Linked DNA regions of Sus scrofa. The protein of the gene in region 3 purifies or fractionates together with the protein of the main gene of each other region. This does not show direct contact. Links are inferred from orthologs where the notes say so. Each region holds a gene or a part of one and is shown on either strand. Other genes may lie near its edges.

Region 1 (4,169 bases), on a different chromosome or scaffold from region 3:
CCTGAAGGAGAGGCTTCGGCTTCCAGCCTAAACTAACACACAAGCATCCCCATCCATCGGTCACACAGGACACAAAGCCCCACTTTAGCCATGAAGCTAGTAACTCATTCACCAGAAACTCGTCTTCCTCGGCATCTCCCACTTTCTCAGCCCACATCCAATCTACCAAAATATCTCTTGCATCCGTTTTCTCATCTCCAGCAGTATCAGCACCCAAGTGCCAGCTACAGGTCTCACCTGGAGGTCCGTGAGAGCTCCTGAATTGGCCTCTCCTACTGTTGCTCCTCCCCAAAGTATTCCTTTTTTTTTTTTTTTTTTTTGCCTTTTTGCCTTTTCTAGGGCCGTTCCTGCGACACATGGAGGTTCCCAGGCTAGGGGTCTAATCAGAGCTGTAGCAGCCGGCCTACGCCAGAGCCACAGCAAGGCAGGATCCGAGCTGCATCTGCAACCTACTATCACAGCTCACAGCAACGCCAGCTCCTTAACCCACTGAGCAAGGCCAGGGATCGAACCTGCAACCACTGAGCCACCACGGGAACTCCCCAAAGTGTTCCTTTAAAGTGTAAACTGGACCATGCCACTCCCCAGCTCAAAACTTGTCCGTGGCTTCCCACCACCTGCAGGCTACAACATCCTGCCTGACCTTGGCCCTTACCTCTCCAGCTTTATTCCAGGTCACTCTCCCCCTTGCTCTTTATGTAGCCCCACCCTGCAGCGCTCCTGGTACACAATAAACATTCAACACATGTTTGCTCAATGAATGAAGGGGATATTTCACCTGTCAGTAAACTAACCACCCCAGAAGCTACAGGCTGTGGTCCAAGTGGACAAAATCCTTCAGGCCCACCCTGCGGGCCACCTCCACCACCCAGGACTAGACCTCTCCTCACTCTAACTGGCCTCACTACAGACAAGAAGCAGATGCATTCAGTCATCACTGGCCGGGCTATCTGGCAACTTGGGCTGCCGAGAGGAGAGCCCAAGGCTAAACACTTACCTCCTCGGCATTTTCCAAGTCATCTAGCCCTTCGTCCTCCTCCACATCGTCAAAGTCATCGCCATCAAAACTGTACAAGAAGAAAGCAGAGCATCACTTACAAGAATCAAAGAGGGCATAGATCTGATAAGCAGGAGGTGCTCAATAAATATGCACTTACTGAGTAAATCATTTTATAATAATAATTTATTAAGTCATTTGATGTCCTCAACTTACTAAAACAAAGCTTCCTTTTCTTTTCTTTTGGTTTTGTCTTTTCTAGGGCCACACCCGCGGCACGTGGAAGTTCCCAGGCTAGGAGTTTAATCAGAGCTGTAGCCACCAGCCTACACCAGAGCCACAGCAATGCCAGAGCCAAGCCGCATCTGTGACCTACACCACAGCTCATGGCAACGCCGGATCCTTAACCCACTGAGCAAGGCCAGGGATCAAACCTGCAACCTCATGGTTCCTAGTCAGATTCGTTAACCACTGAGCCATGACAGGAACGCCAAAGCTTCCTTTTCTATTCCCTCCAGAGCCCTATTTCCATGCCCCCCTGTGGGAGAAAAATTCATGAAAGAGTCGTCCATCTTCGCCATTTCCAATTCTTCTCCTCACATTCTGTCATCATCTCACTCCCAAAGACTTTCAGCTCCTTGGCTCCACCAAAACCACTCCTTTCAAGTTCATCAATGATTTGCACGTTGCTAAATCCACTGGTCTATTCTTGTTCTCATTTAGCCTGATCTGTCAGGTGGCACACCGAATCACTCCCTCTCACTCAAAACACTCTCCACTGGAGTTCCCGCTGCGGCGCAACAGGACTGGCAGCATCTCTGGAGCACTGGGACACAGGTTCGAGCCCTGGCCCGGCACAGTGGGTTAAGGATCCAGCACTGCTGCAGCTGTGCCATAGGTCACAACTGTGGCTCGGACCTGATCCCAGGCCCAGGAACTCCAGATGCCACAAGGGCGACCAAGAAAGAAAGAAAGAAAAGGACACCTCGCGGTCTTGGTGTTCCCCCGCCTCACAGTGGCTCTTTCTCAGCTTCTCTTCCCTCCAGGCACTCCACAGTTAGGATGCTCTGACGCTCATTCATCTCCTCTTCTCTACTGACCACCCACCCCCCTGCCGCCTCCCCATGATCGCCCCCTCTCTTAGCTTTGACTAATACTCTTATGCTAAAGACGCCTCTATTTTTGTCTCTCCTCCACACATTCAGGGAATCTTTCCGGTTCTAGCTTCAAAATAAACCCAGAAATCAAAACCACTTCTCACTACCTCTACTACGATTACCTAGTACAAGTCACTCCTTTTTTTTTCCTGGATTACCGCAAGCCTCCCAGACTTTTACCACCTCAAGTCTCCCCAGACCCTCCGCTGGGTTTCTTTTACATACTTCGTGCAATTCACACGACCCCTGCAGTATCCGTCTGTGGGCCTGTCCCCTTTTCTAGAAAGGGCCCCCTACCTGAAGAGCAGGAGCTATGCCTAATTCACCTCAGTAATTCCAAATCAAGAGACAGAGCCCGACTCCGTGAAAGTTTGTGGAAAGATACCACGTTCACTGATTCTCTCCGGATCCTCAAACTGGGGCTTTTCTTGGCCCAGCCTGTGACCAGGTCTAAGCTCCTGGTCCCCCCGCCTTTCCCTTCTTCAGCTCCGCGGGCCCCTCAATACCCCCAGTCCCCTCACGCATTGCCCCTCGGTTAACGGCTCCTTAACCTCCTTTGACCAGGCTCGGCAAAGCTCACTTTGCTCCCGCACTCACTTGTCCTCGTTGTCAGACATGACGCCCGCGCCGCAGCTCCCTGGTTCTGCGCTAAGAGTCGCGCGGAGACCCGCAAACTGCGCGCCTCCGCCACGAGCTGCGCCACGCGCACTCTGCGCCTGCGCTGTGACCTAGAGGCAATTGCTTCCGGGAGGATCGGCAGGGCGATAGTGCGCACGCGCCGAGAAGCTAGAGCTTGTTACCATGGTAGCCAGAGTGTATAACCAGAGCTTGAGCAGCGGAGATCTCAAAAGCATTCCTGCAGGGCTCCGGCGCGGGTGCTCCTTCAGAGCCTAGCGGCCACTCTCAGTGGGCACCCAGCCGGAGTCTTACCTAAGAGTGAGGTTTCCGTTTGGGTCTATCACACAACGGGCAAGGTTACCCTAACGCCCCTTTCCTCCAGAGGTGGCTTCCCTGCCACAGGCGCCGGGTCTGGATGAGGTCTCTGTTCGCATGTGTGTATCTGCCAGTGGATCTGTTCCGGGTGGGAGGATTGGGCACTGTCGCGATATTGATGGGCGGCGTCACGATTCTCTTGCGGGCCCCGCCCCCGCCAGACCCAAACTTTGGGTGGTGTTGGGGATGCGGAAGCAGAGGTTGTATATGGGAGACAGGGGGTGTGTCGTCGCGTTTTTCCCTCCTCAGAGCCCTCCCATGGCTTCCCAGGAGAGGGTGGAGACTGTGACCAAAGGAACTGGCTTCTGGCGCTGCCCCAAGCCGGCCGCTTACACCCCAAGAACCTGCGAGCTGCTCAGAGGTCAGTGGTGGTCGGGCGGGGCGGGGCGGTGGTGTCAGTGCATGAAAGGACAAAAGGAGAGCGGTAGTCACTGTTAACCTCTGTAACTCAGTTCTCACCTGCATGACTTATGGCTTGCAATTGCTGTTTTCATTTTTCAGATAAGAAGCCTGGGGTTCAGGAAAGTTTGGGGGTCCTGCAACTCGAAAGTGGCCAAAAGTCAAAGAACTCACGAATTTTAGAGTAGTTAACTGCTATGCATCCCTTATATCACACTTTTTTTTTTTTGGTTATTCTTTTTTTTTGTAATTGTTATTTCCCCAATACAATTTTTTTTTTCCTACTGTACAGCATGGTGACCCAGTGACACATACTATATCACACTTTCAATTTCTCCAGAGAAGCCTTATTTCCTCCCCACCCACCACCAACACAGTGCAACCAACCGTTAGGTGCCCACACACTCCCAGTGCCTTTTCCTTCACTGGGCTTAGCGTAACCTGTAGTCAGATACCTTGTGTGTCCCTATGAATTCATGTTGAATTAACATCCATCTGCCCTTCTAGTTCATGAACTCCCATCAGGACACGGTGCCTGTTTTGGCTCGCAATTGTAACTCCAGCCCCTGGCACATGCTTAATGACTGCTTGTTCATTCACTCAACAACAACAAAAAAAGATTT
Region 2 (4,234 bases), on a different chromosome or scaffold from region 3:
GTAATGAGGCTTCTTCTGTGGCCCACGCCAAAGGCCAGTCAAGTTCTCCAGACTCGGGTTTCCTTCTGAGTGATGTTCACCAGGGTCTGTAATAGTGATCCTTTGCAATCTATCAATAAACAGGTTCTCCGAGCTGCTAGAATGATCCTCTACTTGACTTGAAATGTGATGCTGAGGGAGTCGCTCACTGGCTTCAGATGAGGAAGGCACAGCGGCTCTGCTGCTGGAAGGTGGGCACTTGCTCACTGAGTGTTCGGGCTCAGGGGCCTCAGCATTGCCTCCATGAGTAGGATGGACCAGGCCCCGCTGTGAGGTTGTCTGAGACGACGTGATGGTAGCTATAGAGGAGCAGCCAGGAACTAGTGATGAAGTATCAAGTATCTGGTCAGAATTCTGGGCCGTATCTGTTGCCACATCAACAACTGTACTTGCTTTTGTCCTCCACTTACAGTCTAAATTAACGGGATGAAAGAGGTCACTTCCCCCTCTAACTTCTTCATGTTCTTCAATGGCAGCTTTCAGTTTGGCGACAGAGTCTATGATCTTTCTACCTTTGTCGGGCAATTTGCAAATGAATTTTCTGGCAAAAGGAAAAGAACAGGCATATGTGAGAGAGCCCTGTTTTTAAACTTGAGATATAAAGACAAAGAATTATTCTCAAAGGGAGAAAAGCTGATCTTTAAGTAAAAAATCTGATTTCCAACTGGCCCCAATTAGGAATGAAATAAGAGAATCATTATCCAAATACTCCCCCCCCAAAAAAAAACAAGTGGCTGCATGAATAGGAAATATGCCTCATGTGTCTCATCTAATTAGAATTTCAGCAAAAGTATTTTAAGCATATGATACTCATTAAAAGACATCCCCCAAATTAGCAATTTTTAGACGTGTGATATGCAAGACCTTCCTGGGGAGGGTAGGTAGATGGACCTGCAGGGTCAAAACTATATAACACTAAGACACTCTTTGCCATTTTCATTCTCCTTTGCTTACCATCAGCACAGGAAAGGTTTGCAGAGGCCACCTCATATGTGATGATACCACTGCTCTGAGGATTAATAGAATGTGTGTACTTGTCTTTTAAAGATGCTCACTTGTAATTCCTAAGGCAATGATAAATATCAGTAGATATACCACATATAAGACAAGAGCTCTTCAGGATGCTTAAGCGTAAAAGTAGTCTGGAGAACAAAAAGTTAATTTGCCACTTACAGATTAAAAACCCATTCTCAGAGCTCCCTTCGTGGCTTAGCAGAAAGGAATCTGACTAGTATCCATGAGGACGCAGGTTTGATCCCTGGCCTCTGAGTGGGTTAAGGAACCGGCGTTACCATGAGCTGTGGTGTAGGTTGCAGACGTGGCTCGGATCTGGTGTTGCTGTAGGCCAGCAGCTACAGTTCTGTTTTGACACCTTGCTTGGAAACCTCCATATGCTATGGTGTGGCCCTTAAAAAAAAAAACAACAAAAAACCAAAAAAAAAAACCATTCTCACGAAGTCAAAATAGTTGTCTTTACTAGGAAGCTCCCAAGTGATCACTTGTCCCTTTTGCTGAGTGATAGAAGTTCCTTTTCTGATTTTCTTTTCTTTAGCCACCCAATAAATGGGGAGGGAAAGTTACATCTCATGCCCTCTACTCTTTATGACACTATATTCATGCCCCCAATTCTAACTATTAAACATCCCTCTCCAGTTAGGATGCCTCTATTTTCCCATCCTTCTTCTCTCTTAAGCCTCATGACCACTTCTCCAGTTTTTAACCTGATAGAATCAACTTCTATCAACCCAGCTCCCCTAAGTGAAATCAACCTCAGATCTACTCCCCTCCCCAACTTTTCTATTTTTATTACTAGTGCCTCCAGTACAGGCAAGAAACTTCAGCCGTCTCTGTCAACTACACATCAAATTATTCCATATCTGATGTAATTTTCCCAATCCTACAATGACCCTTATAGTTAGTTCACTTTCTTAAACCTCCTTGTCGAGAGGCTCTCTGAAAATATTCTCCTACTGTCTTCTGCCTCTTACTCCCTCAAAACTATCCTGCACAAACCTGCTAAAATAAGGTTAAAAAAAAATCATGTTCATTATATCGATCCTCTGCTAAATTCCATTAACTCTATCATCTAAATGTTAGCCAAACTTTCTTTGCCTATAAGCCATTTTTTTAATTCCCCTCTTCCCACTTCCTGTAAAAAGAGAATCTAGAGATGAAATTGACAGGATGTTTGGGGCACGACTGGGGTGGTGGGCAAAGGCAAAAAAATTTGGGATACAGACCGTCCGTTCGGAAAACCGACACAGAAGCTGAGTACGTAAAACGAGGAGGAGCACGGGAAGCCATCCCACATGCGCTCCATGCCTGGCTGGACGCGGTCAGCTCTACGGCTGTAGGCCGGCTACTCGCCCGCGGACCTCGCAAAGAGCTGACTGTGACAAGGTCACCTTCCGAGGAAAGGATCGGGGTGGGGGAGGGGAGGGGCGCGTCCCGGCTAGCCCGAACCCAAGGAGACCGGCGGTGACTCCGCGGGACCCAGGCTTACACGTTGCGCAAAAGTCTCTCCTGGCGCTTCAACGTTTCCCGCAGCTCTGCCAAACTCCGCTGACCCAAGTCCTCGGGAGGTTGGGGCTCGAAGCCGCGAGGCAGCGAGGACATTCTGCGGGAGCTGAGGCTGGCGAGGCGGCGGGCACTCGACGTCCGCGACAGCTCCCGCTGCGGGCGCCGGATCCGCGGCGGGCAGGGACTCCGGCGAATGAGCGGGAGTCGCCATTTTCCCGGAAGAACAGGGCTTCTTCTAGCCGAATCGAGCTTTATTGAAACGCCGGAAACAAACACGGACAGGGAGGAGGGGGTGGCCGGAGGGGCGGGAAGAGGCGGGAGTTGCGGTGAGACGTCACACGCCGGCCGGGCATGTTTGGCGTGGTCAGTCTGTTACCAGTTTCAGCTCTTCGCCTGTTTATTCAGAAAGTATTTGGTGAGTGCCCCGCTCCCAACTGTTAAGGTGTTTACCGCGTGGGGGAGAGGGTCAGATGCTTATCAGGTGACAGTCAAACAATATAATTGTACGATGGGCCCTGGCATCTGAGAAGTACAAGAGGAAATCTGAGTGATGAGTTACCATTGATAATGTTGGGGAATGTGCCGGATAGGGCATGGGAGGCCCCGGCCCATGGCGTGGCCCGCCTAGTCCGAGGTTCAGTGAAGTTAGCAGATATTAACGTTGGAAGAACCTTTAAGGACTACCAGCGTTTCTTAATGAGGCTCCGGCGTTTGGAGCAGGAGTCTTCTTTTGCGGCACTGAATTAGGCATTGCATATCTGGTATTTGGCTTCTGTGCATTAATTGCTTTAGCACTCCTGAGTCCTTATAACAGTACCAAACGCATCCCACCCACTACCATCCCCAGCACGCTCATACACACAATTCCAAAGGCCCGCAAGAGGTGATGGGGTGGGAGGTGCTGTACAAGCCAGTTGAGAACCTCTCACAATTCCGTATTTTCCTGCAGAAAAACAGACAAAAACTGATGTAAGTTTTCCCAGGGCATGAAACTAGTAAGTGACAACACCAGATATTAAACTCAAAAGCCCAGCTGCTCTACCACACCAGTTTGAAAATCTTCCAAACTGTAAGAAGGTGTTTTAAGCTGTTGAGGAAAGCAATGCAGTAAGCATCACATCTAGTGCTTAGCTTCTCTTAATAGTTAAGCTAGGAGGGCTGTTTCCCAAAGGAAATAGTAGGAAGCATGCTAGTCTCACAGCATACATCACTTGGGAGGTTTGAAAAACCCCATAACCTCCAACACCAGCCTCCCCCTTCTTTGATATGGAAAATTTACATTTTCTCAGTCTTTTGTAAGGTGATATGATAAACACAAGCAATTCCCTCCCAATCAGACAGAAGCTCTAAATAAAATCGGAAACTGCTTCAGGGTGCACAGTTGAAACCGTTTTTGTGTCCTTGTAATCTGGTCCATTCTGATCAGTTTTAACTAATGTATTAACATTCTCAACATAAGGCCTGCTTTTAAGCCCAAGGATTTCACTAACCTGCTCCAGCCCTGGCTAAGTGAGAAACATTTGAGTAAGGCCTTTATCAGTTAGCTGTCCCCTGGCAAGCTCCTGCAAAACCATCATCATCCTGCCCCTGGACCTCACCTGAAGGCCTTTATTCCCTGCCATGGTAGTAATTCCTTGTGATCCTGGGCCACTGGTGCCCTCACCTTGCTTTTCTC
Region 3 (3,644 bases):
CAATCATTTTGTAGAAAAAAATCCAAAAAAGAATTTACTCAGTCAACACACAGTTGCTAAGCATCTGATGCATTTACCTTTATTCTATATTGGAGGCCATTCTACAGTAGAAAGGCATCCTTTGAAACTAAGCAATGTGAACCAGACTCCATTTTCTTAAGCTGCTGAAAACATGTTCTTTAAAAAAAAGTTTTAACGGTTACGTGGAATTTCAATTCTGTTCTACTATGGATTTAGAAAAATCAACTCTGCATTCTCTTAGAATTCGTATCATTGACTTCAGTATATGCTCTGGGATAAGAACAAATGATTTTTTTTTTAATGTCAAGGATGATCATTTTTAGAATTTGCCTCTACTTTGTTTAACTATTTCTTTAAACCCCATGCCCCCATATATCTTAATGCATAGTGTTGTTTGTGTTTTCATTTAGACCGAAGAACTAATCAAGGCTTTGCAGGACCTGGAAAATGCTGCATCAGGGGATGCTACTGTCCGACAGAAAATTGCTTCTTTACCCCAGGAAGTACAAGACGTTTCTCTTTTGGAAAAAATAACAGGTGAGAAGGTAGTTTGGGTGAAAGATGAGGGAAGGGGGACATATCTCCAGTGCATCAAACCCCAGGACATGCTTATGTCTGCAGGTACAGACTTTCCGTGTGGCATTGGGTTCTCTGTCATCTTGGGATTTGCAAACATAACTCACATGCTGAACAAAGAAGCTGCTGGAATAGTCCAAGCTTGAATAGTGACTCTAGGAATTATTGCAGAAATGCTAGCGTGCCACAACCTGTGGTACTCAATACAACAAGTAAGGTCTGTTGAAAACACAGTGCAAATTGTGTGCGTGGGGGGCTGAGGAGGGGGAAGACGTTAAACTCATGATCCTCTTACCAGAAAAAACCTCAGTGCTGTGATTTATACACTGTACACTGACACACCCACAGAAGATAGTGCCTTCAGTGCCAAGAACTCCAGGTTTGTATTGTTAGTCATGTCATTTTTGCCCTCTTGATGATCACCCCCAATTAAACAGTTGGTATTATTCCTGCTTTATGTGAGGGCAGTTGAAAGGAAGGAATGAGGCATGAACTCATAGAGAGTGTGCTCTGTGCCAGATGCCTCTTCAGCCTAGGCTGCAGAGCCTGTGTTCTTTCCACTGCAGAAGCTTGGACCACTCCTGTCTGAGGTCCACCGTTTCTTTCCTCTAGTCTCTTGACTTGGCTCTTCACTCATTTCCTCTCTAGCCATTTAAAGGAAGTCAAGGTTTCTTATGAAATGTTTCCTTCATTCGGCAGATGTTTGAGGTGCATTGTATAGCAAGCATCTGCCCTTGGTGCCCTGCCCACATCCCCTTACAGGTTAAGTGCACCAAAGAAAATAAGGCAGAGGTGGGGTAGGTGGGCAGAGGATTACTGAAGGAGGTAGTGTTCCAAAGGTGCTCAGGGAAGGTCTTCCTGGTGAGGTGGTTCTTGATCAGAGGCCCCCTCCCCCCCAAATTAGGAAGCAGGAAGTGAGGATCAGGGAGGGAAGGAAGTGCCACTTAGGCAGAGAGAGCTGTGCGCGTGAAGACCTTCAGGCAGGGCTGTGCTTCATTGCAGAACAGCACAGAGGCCTTCTCAGTCGCGCAAGAAGCGTATTGGCTCACTCTCTGCTCCCCACCCCCGCAACAGTTACACCCACTGGATGTAACAGCTCATTGGTCCCACAGTCTGTTGATCCGTCCACCTTTTACCAGCCTTTACTCCCCTTAAGGTCTTGTTTTCTTCGTTCTTCAGCTTGGAGTCTTTATAATCACTCTCTCACACACCCTCAGTCCCTTTCGCTCTCCTTCCCCTTCACTCTGGTCTTCTGGCAAAAACCCAACTTACCTCCTGGTTAAATCCAACTTTTTTGTGGTTTCCGGGGCCACCTCATTTATTCTGTCAGTCACAATCTGCAAAATTGGAAGCAAATTAATATAAAATTAGCAGTGTACATGGTTTCATTTATCTGTTTTCACTGACTTATATGGCTTTTAAAAATTATTTATTCATTTTTATTGTATTTTATTTTTTTTGGTCTTTTTAGGGCTGCACCCCACAGTTTATGGAGGTTCCCAGGCTAGGGGCCCAATCAGAGCTGTTGTCTCCAGCCTACACCAGAGCCACAGCAAGGATCCGAGCCTCATCTGCGACCTACACCACAGCTCATGGCAACGCCAGATCCTTAACCCACTGAGTGAGGCCAGGGATTGAACCCACATCCTCATGGATACTAGTTGGGTTTGTTAACCGCTGAGCCACAACAGGAACTCTTCATTTTTATTTTTAGTTACGGTGAAATACACCTAATAAAATTTACCATTTTAACCAGTTTTAAGTGTGCATTAAGAAATGTTTAGTACATTCATGTTGTGTAGTCAATTTCCACAACTCTTCGTCTTGCAGAACTGAGGCGCTATAACATTAAATAGCAACTAATTTCCCCACCCCCAGCTCCTAGCGGTCACCATTCTTTTTTTTTTTTTGTCTTTCTAGGGCCACACCCACGGCATATGGAGGTTCCCAGGCTAGGGGTCTAATTGGAGCTGTTGCCACCAGCCTACACCATACCACAACCACAGCAACGCCAGATCCGAGCCATGCCTGCAACCTATACCACAGCTCAGGACAATGCCAGATCCTTAACCCACTGAGCGAGACCAGGGGTTGTGTTGCTTTAAGCCACCAGGTTTTCAATTCTCTTGCTGGTTTCTCCTCTTCCCCTTCACCTCTTAATTTTGAGTACTTAGTCTTCTTTCCTAGTTAGTTTCACTGACAGGTCCTTATCCTGTTTGATGACTTTAAACAACAGTTTTTATGCTAATGATTCCTTAATTTACATATCTAGTGTTGACTTCCCTTGGACGTGAGACCAATACATCTAGCCTCTTGCTTAATATTACTAGTAACCAAACTTATCTTCCCTCCAGAATTTCTCTCGTAGTCTTCCCCATCTCAGTAAATGACCCCCTCATAATTCCTGTTGGTCTGAACTAAAGCTGGTGTCTGACTCCTTGTTACCACCTCCACTGCTACTACCTCGAGCGCGTCAGCACCGCCTTCACTTGAGTTATTGCAACGGCTCCTATCTGGTCTTGCTGCTGCCTTCTAGTCCCCGAGCCATCCGTGTGTCCTCATCATAGTAACCAGAGTGATGTGTTAAAGTGGAAGTTCAGTCATGTCTCCTCTGCTCAGAACGCTCTAGTCCTATTGGCTCCTTGCCAGGCACTTTCCTCTCTAAGGGCCTTTGCACTTAGTTCTTTCTTCTGCCTGGAATGATCTTCTCACATTGACACAGGCCGTATTCTCTCAGTGAAGCCTACCCTGACCTCCTTATTTTAAAATGTCCTAATTTTTTCGCTTTTGCCTTGTTTTTCTCTAGAGTTCTTTAAGTGAGTAAAATATCATCTATTATTTCTTTTCTTCCCTGAGAATGAGAACTTGGAGGGAGAGAGTTTTTGTCCTTTGTGTTTCCTGTTGGCTTAGGGCCTAAAACGGTGTTGGACACCCACTGGGAATCCATGTATTTGTCAGACTAATGGGAAGGTTTGGGGTGTAAAAGTCTGGTGAGAGTGAGTTTAGTGACAGTGACAGGAGAGGAGGTGAGTACCGGGAGGATAGAC

The links.
Region 1: the proteins of RPRD1B (region 3) and POLR2F purify together in Homo sapiens (affinity purification with mass spectrometry; 4 studies listed by BioGRID and IntAct, counting the BioPlex papers as one, with this or other methods). This does not show direct contact. The link is inferred for Sus scrofa from reciprocal best matches to the Homo sapiens genes RPRD1B and POLR2F.
Region 2: the proteins of RPRD1B (region 3) and POLR2M purify together in Homo sapiens (affinity purification with mass spectrometry; 3 studies listed by BioGRID and IntAct, counting the BioPlex papers as one, with this or other methods). This does not show direct contact. The link is inferred for Sus scrofa from reciprocal best matches to the Homo sapiens genes RPRD1B and POLR2M.

The regions. Positions count from the first base shown.
Region 1 is NC_010447.5:9,914,839-9,919,007, forward strand, and holds the start of POLR2F (DNA-directed RNA polymerases I, II, and III subunit RPABC2), read right to left. Parts: upstream 2,884-4,169; 5' UTR 2,772-2,883; coding exon 2,752-2,771; intron 1,068-2,751; coding exon 998-1,067; intron 1-997. Other genes in the region: C5H22orf23 (UPF0193 protein EVG1), read left to right, coding at 3,205-3,508. UniProt on the Homo sapiens protein: DNA-dependent RNA polymerase catalyzes the transcription of DNA into RNA using the four ribonucleoside triphosphates as substrates.
Region 2 is NC_010443.5:114,264,049-114,268,282, forward strand, and holds the start of POLR2M (protein GRINL1A), read right to left. Parts: upstream 2,815-4,234; 5' UTR 2,656-2,814; coding exon 2,543-2,655; intron 2,482-2,542; exon of another isoform or gene 2,360-2,481; coding exon of another isoform or gene 2,280-2,359; intron 581-2,279; coding exon 1-580.
Region 3 is NC_010459.5:41,121,447-41,125,090, forward strand, and holds part of RPRD1B (regulation of nuclear pre-mRNA domain-containing protein 1B), read left to right. Parts: intron 1-431; coding exon 432-558; intron 559-3,644. UniProt on the Homo sapiens protein: Interacts with phosphorylated C-terminal heptapeptide repeat domain (CTD) of the largest RNA polymerase II subunit POLR2A, and participates in dephosphorylation of the CTD by RPAP2. Transcriptional regulator which enhances expression of CCND1.